Linked DNA regions of Canis lupus familiaris. The protein of the gene in region 1 interacts with the protein of each later gene in a pairwise test. Links are inferred from orthologs where the notes say so. Each region holds a gene or a part of one and is shown on either strand. Other genes may lie near its edges. The genes, in order: CCDC158 and GPSM1.

Region 1 (7,622 bases):
ATTTCTCACAGTTCTGGAGACTGAGAAGCCCCAGATCAAGGTGCCTGCAGATTCAGTGTCTGGTGAGGGCTGGCTTCCTAGCCCACAGATGGCCAAACGGGTGAGGGAGCTCTTTGGGGTCTAAGGGCACAGGTCTCACTCATGAAGGCTCCACCCTCATGACTTAATCACCTCCAAGGCCCCAACCTCCAAATACCATCGCATTGGGGAAATAGGTTTCAACACATGAAGTCAGGTGGAGAGAGGGCACATAGTCTATAGAAATAAGCAAGAGAGAGAGTGGTATGATATGAAAATGGAAAGGTAGTCAGGGGTCAGATCATATTGCACATTGTAGGTTTTAGGAGGATCTTGGGCTGAGTTTCAGTATAGGATGTGAGTGTGCATCACACTATGAGTCTTCTTCTATTTATGGTAAGACGGACTCATGGTGTGTATTTAAGCCCTGGGAGATTTTTAGTGCTGGTTCTTGAAGCCACCTTCTCTTCTCTCCCTCATGGATTTCTACGGTACTTCTTGGGTCTACAACAAGATAAGGCCTTCCAAAAGACAACTGTCAAAGTTTATTATAATTTATGGAGTGATATACAAATAAATCACAAATATTCTTGTTTTGATTAGTTGGGAGACATTTTTCTCTATCACATAACTGTTTTTTTTTTTTTTAATTTTTTAAATTTATTTATGATAGTCACAGAGAGAGAGAGGCAGAGACACAGGCAGAGGGAGAAGCAGGCTCCATGCACCGGGAGCCCGACGTGGGATTCGATCCCGGGTCTCCAGGATCGCGCCCTGGGCCAAAGGCAGGCGCCAAACCGCTGCGCCACCCAGGGATCCCTCTATCACATAACTGTTGATTAGAGGGTTATTTATCACTTCAAGCCAACAAGATCTGCTGGGGTTGCTTTTGTCACAGTAATATGACTAATCTTATTGAGGTCCTGCTCTGCAACAGGCATGCTGTCTCACATAAACTTCACAGAACTGTGAGGTAGAGGTCCCATTATTATTTACATTTTATAGATAAACGGGAAGCTGGCAGAACTAATTAGGTACTAATCTAAGACTTCTTTTTTTTAAATTTTTATTTATTTATGATAGTCACACAGAGAGAGCGAGAGAGGCAGAGACACAGGCAGAGGGAGAAGCAGGCTCCATGCACCGGGACCCCAACGTAGGATTCGATCCCGGGTCTCCAGGATCGCGCCCTGGGCCAAAGGCAGACACTAAACCGCTGCGCCACCCAGGGATCCCTAATCTAAGACTTCTTTAAATGTAAGCTTGAGGGATCCCTGGGTGGCGCAGCGGTTTGGCGCCTGCCTTTGGCCCAGGGCGTGATCCTGGAGACCCGGGATCGAGTCCCACGTCAGGCTCCCGGTGCATGGAGCCTGCTTCTCCCTCTGCCTGTGTCTCTGCCTCTCTCTCTCTCTCTGTGTGTGTGACTATCATAAATATGACATATCATAAAAAAAAAAATTTAAAAAAAAAAAAAATGTAAGCTTGAGAAATACTTTTGAAAGTGAAAGCTGCATTGTCATTGTGCAGTTCCAAAGAATACCTCCATCTACTTCATCCCAAAGTCACGATCAACTGGTAGAAGGAGTGGGATGTGTGAACTGTGGGGAAAAAAATCAGGTAGCTCAATGGCATCTTGAAGGTAGCTAGTACCATGAAATGAGGAACATTCCTGCGATGTCAACCTCAGGAATTAAATTGGCCTCCCAACATCTTCCCAGACCCTCCTTCCTGCCTTTGTACTTCTGCGGTGTTCTAACCTTGGTCTCAGTTCACCTCACTGATTGTTGTTTTTCAATGGGGATTTTGCTGTATTTCATCTTAATGTACAGTCATCAATAGTGCCTTTGTTTCTCTCTTAGGCTTTTGTCTCCTTAGTTGACTTAAACTCTTGCTGCCCATCAGCCTAAACCCTGGGGCTTAACTCTTGGGCTGCATACATTCTGTCACCTGGATAGGCCATGATAAATAAAACCTTAACTCTCAAATCAGGTCAGTTACCCAAGGAAAAACACTAAAACATGAAACAGTCGAAAGCTAACAGAGGCTGGATCCACTTAGTTTATCCATACAACCTCAGGCTTGAGGTTCATGCTGATAGAGCACTGATTTTCTAGGGTACTTCAAGTTCATGCCTTCCAGCGAGGTGGAGATCAGCTCCACAACAGATGGTCTTCCATGGAGGAGTCTCCATTGTAACTAACTTTATTTCATTTGTCCCTTTCTAGCTCTTGCTTACTTTATGATATAAACAAATTACTGAGTATTTTCATATCACTCCTTAATAGCCAGTGCTCTTGGCTTGGTCTGCTGCTTAGCTTACTCTCTTCATGCTTAACCCATCTGCTCTGGTTCCATGACTCATTAGTCCCACCCTCCCTGAAAGGCATACTCTCTAGCTCTCCTAATAGTATGTTCCCTTGGAATAATCCTGAGACCTCCACACACAATTGTTCAAAGCCATTGCTGCCTAGTAGTGCCTAGTTCAACTGGCCTCATCCCTCATCCATTCTTGGCTCCTGGCAATAGTTCAGACAGATCCTAGAATTGTAAAGATCTCAAGACTAAAGATAATTATGGCAGGAATTCGGAATTAAAACACAAGACAATTTAAGTGGAGTAAGTATTCTTCAGGTTAGTTGGACTAAGTTAAGTGTCTAGCACTTTGGGTATTATATTATATTCTAACCACACGTTTGCTAGAAAGTAGGAAGAAAGATTAAACTTCTAGAAGTAACTGTCTTATTCCTTTGCTTTAAAAAGTTGAAACTTTTAATGGAAGAAGTTGTATAGGCATAATTTAAGCTTTTATCATCTTGTGTGTGGTCCTCTGAGAAATTCACATTTTGGGGGGTTGCCTTGTCTCAGGGAAACTGGGGAGTGAGCTGCTGGAATTCAGACACAGGATCTGGTTGGGTTCCAGCAATAAATACACATATTGGGAGCCAAGATAGGATATTAAAGGAATGGGACAGTGAGTAAATTTTGGAGAATGAGTTCACAGAAAATACTTGACACTTTCATTTTTGGATTTTGGTGGTGGCAGGGGGTTATTCTTCATATTTTCACATTTGAGTAGCAGGTGAAAAACCAGACAACCATTGACCTAGGTAAGTATAAGTAGCAGGAAAGTTAGTTTTGTTCTTCAGGATTGCATTATGGTTGCATCCTGGTGCTCTTGACTCAACATTTACACTTAAATGAGTTGCTTAGCAGTGTCTTGTAAGAATTACTATCACAGCTTTCTGTGCATATATAAGTCGATGCATTTGACCTTATGAAGAAACTGTGGTGGGGCATCTGGGTGGCTCAGTGGTTGAGCATCTGCCTTTGGCTCAAGTGTGATTCAGGGTCCTGGATCTAGTCCCGCATCAGGCTCCCCGCAGGGAGCCTGCTTCTCCCTCTGCCTGCCTGCCTCTTTCTGCCTCTCTCTCTCTTTGTATCTCTCATGAATAATAAATAAAATCTTTAAAAAAAAAAAGAAGAAGAAACTGTGGTGTGGGCCCTTACAGTGTGCCAGGGTGTAGTGCCCATTTCTGGACCCAGGCACTGTAGGGTACTGCAGTCAGCTTTCCTCTTGATAAGGGAAGGCAAAATAAAGAGGGGAGGACTGCAGGTAGAAAGCAGGAAATGGACACATAGTAACAATATTTATATTCACTCAGTTCTACTGTGGGTTGGATAGATACTATGTTAAGTTCTTTTATTTATGGTTTTGTAGAATGAAATTTGATGAAATGAAAAAAGAGATTGAAAAAAGATTTTTCCTAAATGATAGAGCCTGGATTTAAAGCTGTTTCATGTGTTCACTGGCATGTTCGGTCCACACATTATTTATCAAATGCCTAAAATATGACAGCATGGAGGAAACGACAGCAAACAAGGTCTCTGCGCCCAAAGGGCCTGTGTTCTCTGCTGCTGCTTCTACCACCTGCAGCGACCAGCACCGCCACGTCCCATTCCCTCACCTTTCACGTCAGGGCATGTTGGCTTGACCTCCAACTGTCAGCATCCTCAACTGTCAGCATCCTCAACTGTCAGCATCCTCGTCTGTTGGGTTAAGGACTCTATTTTGCCTCCCCTTTGCTGCCTGTTTAAGGACGCTCGGAGCAACCCTCCCCACGTGCCCGACTTAAGCTGAGAACCGTCGGGCTCTGGCGTGGCCTCTCCTCTCGCTGCCTCTGCGCCGCGTGGTGGGAGCTGCCCGGTGGCCGGGGCTGGGCTGGCTGCGCTGGCTGCGCTGGCTTGCAAGGGCTTCTGTGTGGACTGTGCCTCTCCTGCCTCCCCGCCCACTTCCCCCTCGATTTTCTGCACTTTCTAGATACGCTAGTACTTGCTTTTGAACTCTTGTCTTGGAGTCTGCTTCTGGGGAAACCCCAACCAAGACTAGCACCCCTTGGCGAATGCTAACTAAGGAAAAGCCTGAGCCTGAAGTGAATCTGATTCCAAAGTCTCTGGTCTTTCCACTCCGCCACGGGATTCGAATCAAAGGGCCCCAGTAGTATCTTAGACCTACGTTTTCTTGGGTGCTAAGAAAAGGAGAAATTCATTCTTGGACTGCCTTCCTCTTTCTTCACTGAATGAGTTGATGAATCACACTGTTTTTATCATCACTTCTTTTTTCTGTATGAATCAAGCTACAAGAAAATTTCTCTTCCCCTTTGAGAGGACAATCCAATGTCTCTTTTGTTCTGTAGATCGCTTTCTTCTAGAGGCTCTACAGGTTACTGGTTAAGGAAAATGTGCTCCCCTGTGCAGAATAGACAGGGAAATCTAATTCTTTGGGAGCTCTCTGAGCAGATTTCTTTTCTAGAATTTTGTTTATGAGGTTTCTATTCTTTCTGAGTTCATATGATAAACATACACGAGAAGAAAGTGGACAACATACTGTTTTTCAGTCCAGCATATTTGACATTATACCATGGCAGTGGAATGAGGTTCGGCACCTAAGCAAGCAATAAAATATAGTATAATTTCTAATCCATCCCAACCTCAAAATAACACAGTGACTTTTTGACAGTAAAATGCAGTGTTTTTAAAGTAACTTGTACCACTGCCAAATTCAAAGCAAGAAGCTTCTTTTGAAGCCATTCCCCTCAATATGAATATGCTTAAAAAAAAAAAAAAAGAAAACGAATATGCTTTGACTCACTATGTTGTTGTCTTTTTACAGTTTCCCTGTTTTTTGTTGAAGTTCACTGAAGATTGACAGATAGTAGCTTCATGTGACAGCCATTAGCCTGGCCAACCTAAACCTCAGCATGATCAGGAATGGATAGAATAATGAATAGATTTTACATAATATAATTCATGTTGTCAGCCACATGAAATTGGCCATTCAAGAGAAGCTAAATATGCTTCTGGTCCTCTCTTCTTTAATTCACATTCAAATATGACAATGCAAAAGGCATTATTCCTTTTTTGTTTGTTCATTTTTTTCAGAGTTCATTTTTTTGAACTCTGAATAATGGAGCAATGAACTTTACTTAAAAAGAGCAAGTGAAGAAGGTATTTGCCTCTTTGTACGAGTAGGGATTAATGAGCATTTTAAAAAATCATGTTTGGGTGTATGTGAGCATAAGGAGTAGCATTTCATCATAATGAGGGAGGTCTTGGCAAGTCAGTGTTCACTTTAACTTTATGATGTTGATTGCAGAACACGTTGATGCCTACTCTAACTGCATGTGGAATAGAAAATAGATTCAGAAAGTGGCAGAGAAGAAAATTATCTCCCATCTTCCCATCTCTCAAGTGCAGGAAAAATTCTTCTTAGTCAAAGTTCCCTGGCTTGTCCTACGTAAGCTGTCACTCCATGGAAGTGAAAAATACACCTTGCTATATGTTGCTGGTGAGAATGTACAACGGTGTAGCCACTTTGGAAATATGGCGGTTTTTAAAAATGTTACTCTATCACCCAACAATGATACTTCTAAGTATATGTACCCAGGAGAAATGAGAACACTTCTGTAAAAAAGACACACTCAAATGTTCGTGGCCTCATTGTTTACAATAGTCACCAAGTGGGAAAAAAATCCAAATATCCATCAACTGGATAAATAAAATATGGTATACCTATATGATGGAATACTGTTTTAGGGGAAAAAAGGAACTGAATGCTGACAGATGTTACAACATCGATTAACCTCAAAAATATTATGCTCAGTTAAAGAAGCCAGACACACACAAATACACATATTATGCAATTCCATTTATAGACACCACTCAAAAGAGGCAAATCTGTAGAGATAGGAAGTAAATTTCTTTCTGTGTGAGGCTAAGGATGGGAGTAGAGAGTGAATATAAATGGGTACGAAGTTTCTTTCCGAGGTCATGGAAATGTTCTAAAATAGATCACAGTGATGATTCCACAACTCTTTATATTAAAAATCATTGACTATAGGGAAATAGCTACTTTTTTTTCTGGTAATAAAATGAGAAGGAACAAAAAAAGAGAAAGATAGAAAGTAAATAAGAATCACAAAGTAGATTATTACTCACCATGTATTGATTTAATTAACTGAAATTTAAAGTAGTAGAGGAAGATGACCAAAACAAAGATCTAAAAAGCACAACGGAGACCTAATTACCTAAAGAAACAGGAAAATCTAAAAAGTTGTTCATAAGTCAATTTAGGGAATGAGAAAGAATATGCCACATTCAGAAGACCTAGGCAGTGGATTCTAGGATTTTCTCTGAAGGAAGAATAAAGAATGCCTTTCTCATTGTCAAATACCAGGATCTTAAATCTGTATGTTTGATTTTGCCCATGTTTTGTGTACCATATGTTTCTGGAAGGATGAAAGTGCAGTGTCCTAGGAAAGCAAAATAATGTAAAACATGAAATTTTTGGCTAAATTACTGAGGTTAGAATTAAATTCTTCAGTAGAGTTTGAGGACACACAGGCATTTAACATTGTGACAAAAATATTATGTTACAGAAGAGTAAGGTGTGCTGGCACTTTAAGCTTGAGGAATTTTTAGTCATTGAGACTATGGAAATTTAGTGAAGTCTTATCACATTGGGGTTATAAAGGTGAATCAGCTGGTAAGCTAGTTAGCTTATAAAGAAGGCAAAGAAGCATTTCAGGATGAGGGGTGAAAAAGCTTTTCACAAGGGCGATCTTATGCTTTGTGAAGCCATGTGGGGGGCATGGGCCACCTGGGAGCAGGAGCTTCTTGATCACCAGTGATGCCCAGTTGCTCCTCCTGACCTGTGGTATCTGTCTTCTGTCTTGGCTGTCCACTCTGACTTCTACTGGGGACCCTTGACATGAAGGGAAAGAAAATTCTCTTAAAAGTCTACAAAATCCCCTGCCATCCTCCATTCTAGTACCTGCTGGTCAAAACTTTCTCAGATTCAAGGAATCTATAGTGAATGTATACATGTACAATTGCTAAAGTGTGATGACTGTCCACTCATGGAAAGAGATGATGGCTATCTTTTGTGCAATTAACTAATCAATGATTATCTCTTTTTTTTCTGTTATGGTTTTTGGCTCTCACATGCACTAGACTTAATTCAGAATTGTGTGTTCTTGAGTGGTATAAATCACATTTTCCTATTAACGGTTTACTTTTGACTTCTCTAAAGTTTATAACTGACAGAA
Region 2 (6,976 bases), on another chromosome or scaffold:
TGAGGGGGAACATGGGGGCCAGCCCTGCTGGTGGCCCCAGGGGGACTCTTCTGACCCAAGCTTCCCTGTTCCCCCTACCACTTGGGCTCCTATGGGTCTTGCCCACTCAGGCTTGGGGCTATGGTGGGTCAGGGCAGGCACTAGGCGTGTGCTGGAAGGAGGTGCCACTGGGGCCCAAGGAGTGTAGGGCTGAGATAAAGACCCAGGACACAGGAGGCCACCTGTAATGGCCCTGTGATCAGGGGCTGCGCTGACCATAGTGGGAGGGTCCTGCGTGGACAGGCCCTCAGAGACCCTGTCCCATCCCTAAGGAGATGTCCAGCTAGGGAGTTGCAAAGGAGGGGCCCCCAGGGGCGGCCATGCCTTCGTGCCCTGGGCTGCCTGTGGCAGGTCATTTCCACCTTGGCCCGGCCCAGTTCCATCAGGGACAGAGGACGTGGTCAAGGGTCGGCCCACAGGGAATGCTAACACTCTAGGGGTGCAAACAGGGCCCCCTCCCCTGTCGCACCCCCTGGCTACGGCAGAGAAGCAGCCACTAGGCCTCTGAGGGCAGGGCCAGCGTGCAACAGCCTGGAGAGGATGAGGAGGAGTGCCGGCAGGAGCCCAGAGTGCACGGAGGCACCTAGCCTGGTCCAAAGTGGGCCAGGCAGCGCCTGGAGACCTCCAAGGGCCGCTAAGGCACTGGCTGGGGAGGGCAGGAGGGCGGGCCTGGCTTACCTCCTGGGAGATCTCCAAGTGCTTCTTGGCGAAAGTTAGGGCCTGCGCCGGGCTCCCCATGGACACGTAGGCATTCCCCAAACTCCAGCACGCCCGGCCCTCACCCACTCTGCCAGGGTGGGACACTGAGTTCACATCTGTAGCCCCCAGGCCCGCCAGCCCACCCACCAGCCCCCGGTTTTCGGGCCCATTGTGACAGGAGCAGAGCCGGCAGGCCTGGGGCTCCTGCGGGTCTCGCTTGTCCCCTACCAGCCAGTGAGGCTCTCCTCCACCCTTGGGTGTGGGGGCAGGAGGTAGGGGCAGTCCCTCAGGTCATCAATCTTTCAATTAAGGTGAAAAATCACAAAACATAAATTTAACCACTTGGGCATATGCTCAGCTCTGTGTGTACTTCTGATCCACAGCCGTCACCATCTAGTTCCAGAGCGCCATCGCCCGCCAGAGCAAGGGCCAGCCACTTGGAGCCTCCCAACAGAGTAGCCTGCCAGCAGCCCCTTTGCCCCTGCCCTGGCCGCCCACCCCACACCCATGCATGTAGGATACTTCTGTGTCTCCTGAGAGACTGAGGCTACGCAGACACGGGGTGCTCAGGGGGCTGATCCCCAACCAGCCTACCCTGACGGTCACCACAGGTGGCCAGCCGGCACCCACCTGGTCTCATGCGGTCCCACTCGGGACGGCATGGCCCAATGGCAGAGGGAGGCTGAGGCCAGGCAGGCCGTCCTGCTCGGAGAGGCCTCCTGGTGCTCGGCAGCAGGGCAGGGCCACGCTGAAAGCAGTTTGCAGCTCAAGGACTGTCTGGAGGCCTGTGGGCCAGGCCTGACCCCCACCCCCCATTAACCTGTCAGCCAGTTCCTGGGCGATGAGCAGGTGCCGCAGGTGGTACTCAGCTGCGCGCTCGTAGTCCTGCAGCAGCGTGTACGTGTTGCCCAGGCTGTAGCATGCCTGTGCCTCCACTGCCTGGTCCTTGAGCTGCCGGGACAGCTGCAGTGTCTTCCTGCAGAGAGGACAGAGGGTCAGTCCCAAATGGAGGGGGCGTGGCACTGTGCATGGCCCTCATCTGAGGGGTGGGCAGTGGGCGATGCAGATGCAGCCCACCTGCTCTGTGACCTCAGCCCCAGGATCCCACCAGAGTCTCCATAGAGGGCTGGGGGACAACACAGCCCAGCCCGGGCTCCTGATTCAGGATGGTAAAGCTCAGCCCGGGACCTGGGGCCGATGACCCAGTCTCTACATGGTGGCCACCGCTCTGCAGATGGTTCACAGGGCTCCCCGGGCACAGGTCAGGGACTCCCAGGAGCCCACATGGTCCTGACCTTCTGAGTCCGTACAAGGATCATACGTGCACTCAGAGCTATCGTGGGGAGTAAAGACATTTTGGGGGTTCCCCCCCACAGCTAGCATCAGAAAGCCCCGAGCTGTGGCCAACTGTGTCCCCGGCACACAGTGGCCTCTGCCAGCACGTACCAAGGGAAGGGGCTGTGGTGCTTTCTGCCCTTGATAGCCCTAGGACACAGGCCAGAACCCCCCACCTGGCCCCCGGGCTGGGCAGGTGGGGGCGGGCAGGGGTGGGGGTGGGTGGGGAGGTGGGCAGGGGTTGGGGGGCAGGCCTGCCTACTTGTAGTACTCGGCGGCCACGTCAAAGCGCCCCAGAAAGATGTGGGCGTTCCCCAGGTTGCTGTAGGCCCTCCTCTCGGCTGCCTTATCTCCGAATTCCTTAGCAATGGCCAGGCGCTGAGGATACAGACCCAAGGCTGGGTGGTTACAGAGTAGCCGCGGGACCCGATGTGGATGACAGACGCACAGACACGGTGGCTGGGGGCCCCACAGTGCACTCACCTCCTTGTGGAAGGCTGTGGCCTCCATGAAGCTGCCCAGCAGGTAGTGGGTGTTGCCTAGGTTGCCGTAGGCTCTGCCCTGGGCCGCCCGGTCACCCAACTCCTTCACCAGGGACAGATTCCTCCTGGGGGTCGCATCCATCTGAGCTGTGTCCCTCTCAATGCCCGGGAAGCAGGGGCCCTGTGACCCACCCGCCTAGCCTAGAGGGTGACGGACAGGTGTCCTCTGCTCGGTTCCTCCCAGGAGTGTGCCCCAGAATGAGGGCCGCTCAGGGTGGGCCCCCCAGCTCTGGTGCCACTGCCAGCAGGTACCATGAGCTCCAAGGCCTGCATCCGGGGCTCGCCTGCCCCACTCTGGTTTTCAGGGGCAAGGTTCTCCCACCCACGAGGCTTGGCCGATGTCCCTGCCCCCCTTCCAGCCATGTGCTTTCTAAACGCCACCCATGGCTTCTGCTTGGTGCTTTCCCTGCTTCTCTGCACTGGGTGGGGGACTGACGCACAGGGAAGCGGCAGGAGGCTTGGTGCACTCCCCGCAGGCCCTGAGGACGGGGCCAGTGGGGGGGGTGGGGAAGGAGAGTCAACTGGCCAGCACCACGCGGGCTTGGTGGAGAGGTGATGGGGTGGACATGGGTGCTCTGGGCCTGGGCCAGTGGCAGTGGCCCGGGAAGCGCCAGGAGAGCGTGGACAAAGCCCGGTCCGCTGGTTCTGCAGGTGCCCCTGTCCGCCCCACTCACTCATAGAACTCGGAGGCTCTGCGCAGTGGCTCCCGGACGTCGGGTGGCAGGTGCCCGGGGTCCTGGGCAGCATTCCAGGACAGCTGCTTGCCCTTGGCGTGGTAGACGTTGCCGATGTTGTACAGTGCCCTCGCCTCCCCGACCTGAGGGCAGCACCGACATTGGGGGGACCCACAGACACAGCCCCAAAGGCAAGTGTGGATGCTGAGGTAGGCCTGGGGCCCCAAGGAGGGGTGGGGGTGCTGGCACGTGACTGCCATTCTGTGGACAGAGGATGAGGCAACCAAACGACCCTGGGACCGACTCAGCAGAGGAGGTGCAGCCACATCCGGTACCCACAGCCCTCAGTCTCTGCCGTCAGGGTGGCCAGGCCTCTGTGTGGTGCCAGGGGAAGGAGGGCGCTCCCAGCCGGGCCCGGTTGCCATGAGATACGACGTGGGGCAAGCCATCATGTTTCCTCGTCTGTGCTTATGTCACAGGGTCATGGAGGGAGGTTACTGAGTGGGACAGCCTAAGGTCTGGCACAGAGCTAGGCCCAGAGCGACTCTATCCCCAGCTGCCACGCCACCCTGCCTCCCTCTGGAGCCAGACTGGGAGAGGTCGGTGAGAGGAAGAGTTGACATGGGGGATGGGGAGCTAGGGACTCAGCCCTGCAGTGTGTCAGGGGTCACTCTTCCATCCTCCTCCCATGAGGCCCCGGGTCATGGGGTTGGGAGGGGCAGCTGCCCTGGAAGCTGCTGACCCACCTTGTCCCCCTGCTCCTGGGCGATGTCCAGGTGCCGCTGGCAGCAGACGACGGCCTCGTCAAAGCGGCCCAGGACCTTGAGCGTGTTCCCCAGGTTTCCACTGGCCTTGGCCTCCCCCATGCGGTCACCGATGGTCCTGGAGGGCAGGGGGCAGTGTGCGGCCAGGCCAAAGGCCAGGCTCAGGATGCTGCGGGCTGCAGGAAGCCCAGGTGAGGGTAGGGGAGGCCTGGCAGGACCAGCCCTGGGCCGATGGGGGCCATGCTGGGCTGAGGTTCTGGGGTGGGTGGGGAGGGCCCCTCGGGTCGGGAGCCCTGCTTGAGCAGGGGAGGGTCACTTCTCTGCTGGGCCCAGCCTGCCACTGTCAGGGCCTGGGGAGGTGCCCGGATGGAACCCGGGAGAGCCATGGGGCCCGGTGGTGTGAATAACTTCTGACAGGCTGGTTGGGTGTCAGGGGCCGTCAGGGGCTTGCTGGCCAGGGAAGGGCCTGTGGGGCACCCACTGCCCACGTACAGGAGGAGCAGAGCGTGTTCCAGGGCAAGAGCAGCTCGGGCCCAGGCCTGGAGGCCAGAGAACAGTGAGGCCTATGGAGCCCACACACAGGTGTGCACGGGGTTCCGGAGTTGGGCAGGCGGACACGCTGGGAACACGGGCCGACAGAGAGACAACATGCGCTGCCGGGGGCACTGTGCGGTCCTCCCCCCCCCGCCCCGGGGTCCTGGGCACCCTGAGCTCCCCAGACACACGCAGGGCACCTCACCGGGCCAGCAGCAGGTCGTGCCTGTGGTACTCCAGCGCCCGGCCGTACTCCTTCAGGTAGAAGTAGGCGTTGCCTAGCTGGCTGTAGATGGCACTCAGCGTCTTCAGATCCTCGGTGCCCACCTGCACCGCTGCCTCAAAGAAGGCCGCGCCCGCCTTGAAATCCCCAGCCTTGCAGAGACGCTCCCCCTCCAGGGCAAGCTCCAGGCACGAGGCCTCCATCCTGCGCGCAGGGGACACAAGTCACCGCCTACCTCTTGCGTGGTCCCACGGGGCCTTTGTGCTCCCTGCCCAGGTGTCACCAGGACCACGAGGCCCTCGGGGAGCGGTGGCCCCCTCCATCCCTGTGCACACAGTCGGAAATGTCTTTGGAGGACTGCCTGGAAGCGAGTGCCAGCTCCAGTGCTGTGCCTGTCCCCAGGTGGGCTCACTTGTGCCCCAGCTGCACTGCACACCCCTCACGCTCCCGGGGCTCAGCCCAGGAAGAGGCATGAGTCTGTGACCATAGCAAGACCCTCAGGCCACGGTGGCCACAGCCTTCAAGAAGTCTCGGGCACCTGGACGAGGGCCCCCCAGGCCTGGGGCCACGTCCCTCCTCCAGAGCAGCCACAGCAGCCCGTGGCAGGCCCTGATTCTCACCCAGGACAGCCGAGGCCTTGGGAGATTCAGAGAAAACTGGTCAAGGCCACATGGGCAGGAGCTGACTGCATCCTATGTCCTAGGGTGGGCCCCGCCCTCCAAGGTCTCTGTGGGCAGCTGGGGGCTCAGCCATCATCTGTCCTCGCCTCCCATCCTTCGGGGGCATGGCTGTATGGGAGCCAAGGGTCAGCCAGCCCCACGGGCTAAGTGCTCAGCTGGTCACCTCCCAGGTCTCCCCATCCCCATGGCGCTACTGCAAGAGGACATGACAGGGCCCATCCCGGGATGGACGACCCCTGGACCCGTGGGAAACTGCTCCAGGTTCCTGGCCCTGAACCCAGCCCAACTGCAAGAGCCCGGGGTTCCATGGGACAACCAGTGCCCTTGCTGGAGGCTTCCTCTCCCGACCTTTGGGCAGGGGCCTCAGAGAAGCAGCCCCTTACCCTTAGGCCCTGCTAGCCCCCAAGGTGGGGTCCAAGCCCCCCAGCTGTTACCTGGGCCCTGCTCACTGCGGGCCCCACGACCCCTGGGCCTTGGGTGAGCTGCCCCAAGGACAGGGCTGTCAGAAGAGCCTTGTGTGGGCAGTCACTTGATCAGGCTGGCCCTGGTTCCAGCTCTCCCTGCTGTGGGGTCCCGGGTAGGACACATCACCACCTAGAACCTCGGTCTCCTCCTCTGCCCTATTCCAGCTGGTCCTGTGGGTTCCAGCCTCAAGGCCTGGCACATTGCCCTGCCCTAGGGTGGGAAGAGTGGGGCTCCAGGCTGCAGGGCACCCAGGCAGGTGGCAGGAGGGGCCCAGTGGCCACATACATGGCCCTGGAAAAGTGAGAGACACGTTCTGCATGGCCAAGGGCCAACCCCAGTCACCGGGGTCCAGGGAAAGCCTGCAGGGTAATTCAAGGTGTCCACACCAAATTGGCCATGTCCCCCCAGTGACCAGCAGTTACTGGAGGAGAATCACACATATCCTCTCAACAAACAAATCTGCCCACAGCCATACTTCTCAGCCGTTTTGCCCACATAGCCTGCTGATACAAACCAGAGTGCCCTGTCCACCTGACTCCCACATCGTCAAGAAAATGGGCACTTTACACATTTCCAACAAGACGGCGTACCAAACAGCCCCACACCACACGGACTCAGGGCTCTCTGTGGGAGGTCTCCGTCACAGTGCCCCTGGCCCAGCCTGGACTCCCCAGTGGAGAGTGGGCTCCAGGACCTGGCGTTGCCCTGCACCCTCCAGACTCAAGCAGAGCCTGGGTGGCCTCTCGGAGAGCTGGGGTCCAGGGTCTCGGCCTCCTACCCACCACACTCTGGGAAGGTACATCGGATGCCATATGGCAGGAGCCCCCAGCAGCCATCCCCTGGCCTGGCCACCACCGTGCAGACGGCTCCTTAACTAAGGGCGGCTCGTCCTCACCCAGCTGGCACTAGCTCTCTGATGCGGCTGAGTGATCTCTCCTCCCAGGTGACTTGGGAGGACGGGGGCCTGGAGTCTGACATTGCTGGGTCCTGAGCCCAGCACACCCTGCTGGCTGACAGACAC

The links.
Region 2: the proteins of CCDC158 (region 1) and GPSM1 interact in a two-hybrid assay, tested with the Homo sapiens proteins (2 studies listed by BioGRID and IntAct). The link is inferred for Canis lupus familiaris from reciprocal best matches to the Homo sapiens genes CCDC158 and GPSM1.

Annotation. Positions count from the first base shown.
Region 1 is NC_049253.1:39,111,074-39,118,695, reverse strand, and holds the start of CCDC158 (coiled-coil domain-containing protein 158), read right to left. Parts: upstream 4,205-7,622; 5' UTR 3,984-4,204; intron 1-3,983.
Region 2 is NC_049230.1:49,137,544-49,144,519, forward strand, and holds part of GPSM1 (G-protein-signaling modulator 1), read right to left. Parts: intron 5,015-6,976; coding exon 4,793-5,014; intron 4,172-4,792; coding exon 4,036-4,171; intron 3,433-4,035; coding exon 3,290-3,432; intron 2,681-3,289; coding exon 2,557-2,680; intron 2,452-2,556; coding exon 2,336-2,451; intron 1,715-2,335; coding exon 1,559-1,714; intron 827-1,558; coding exon 718-826; intron 1-717. UniProt on the Homo sapiens protein: Guanine nucleotide dissociation inhibitor (GDI) which functions as a receptor-independent activator of heterotrimeric G-protein signaling.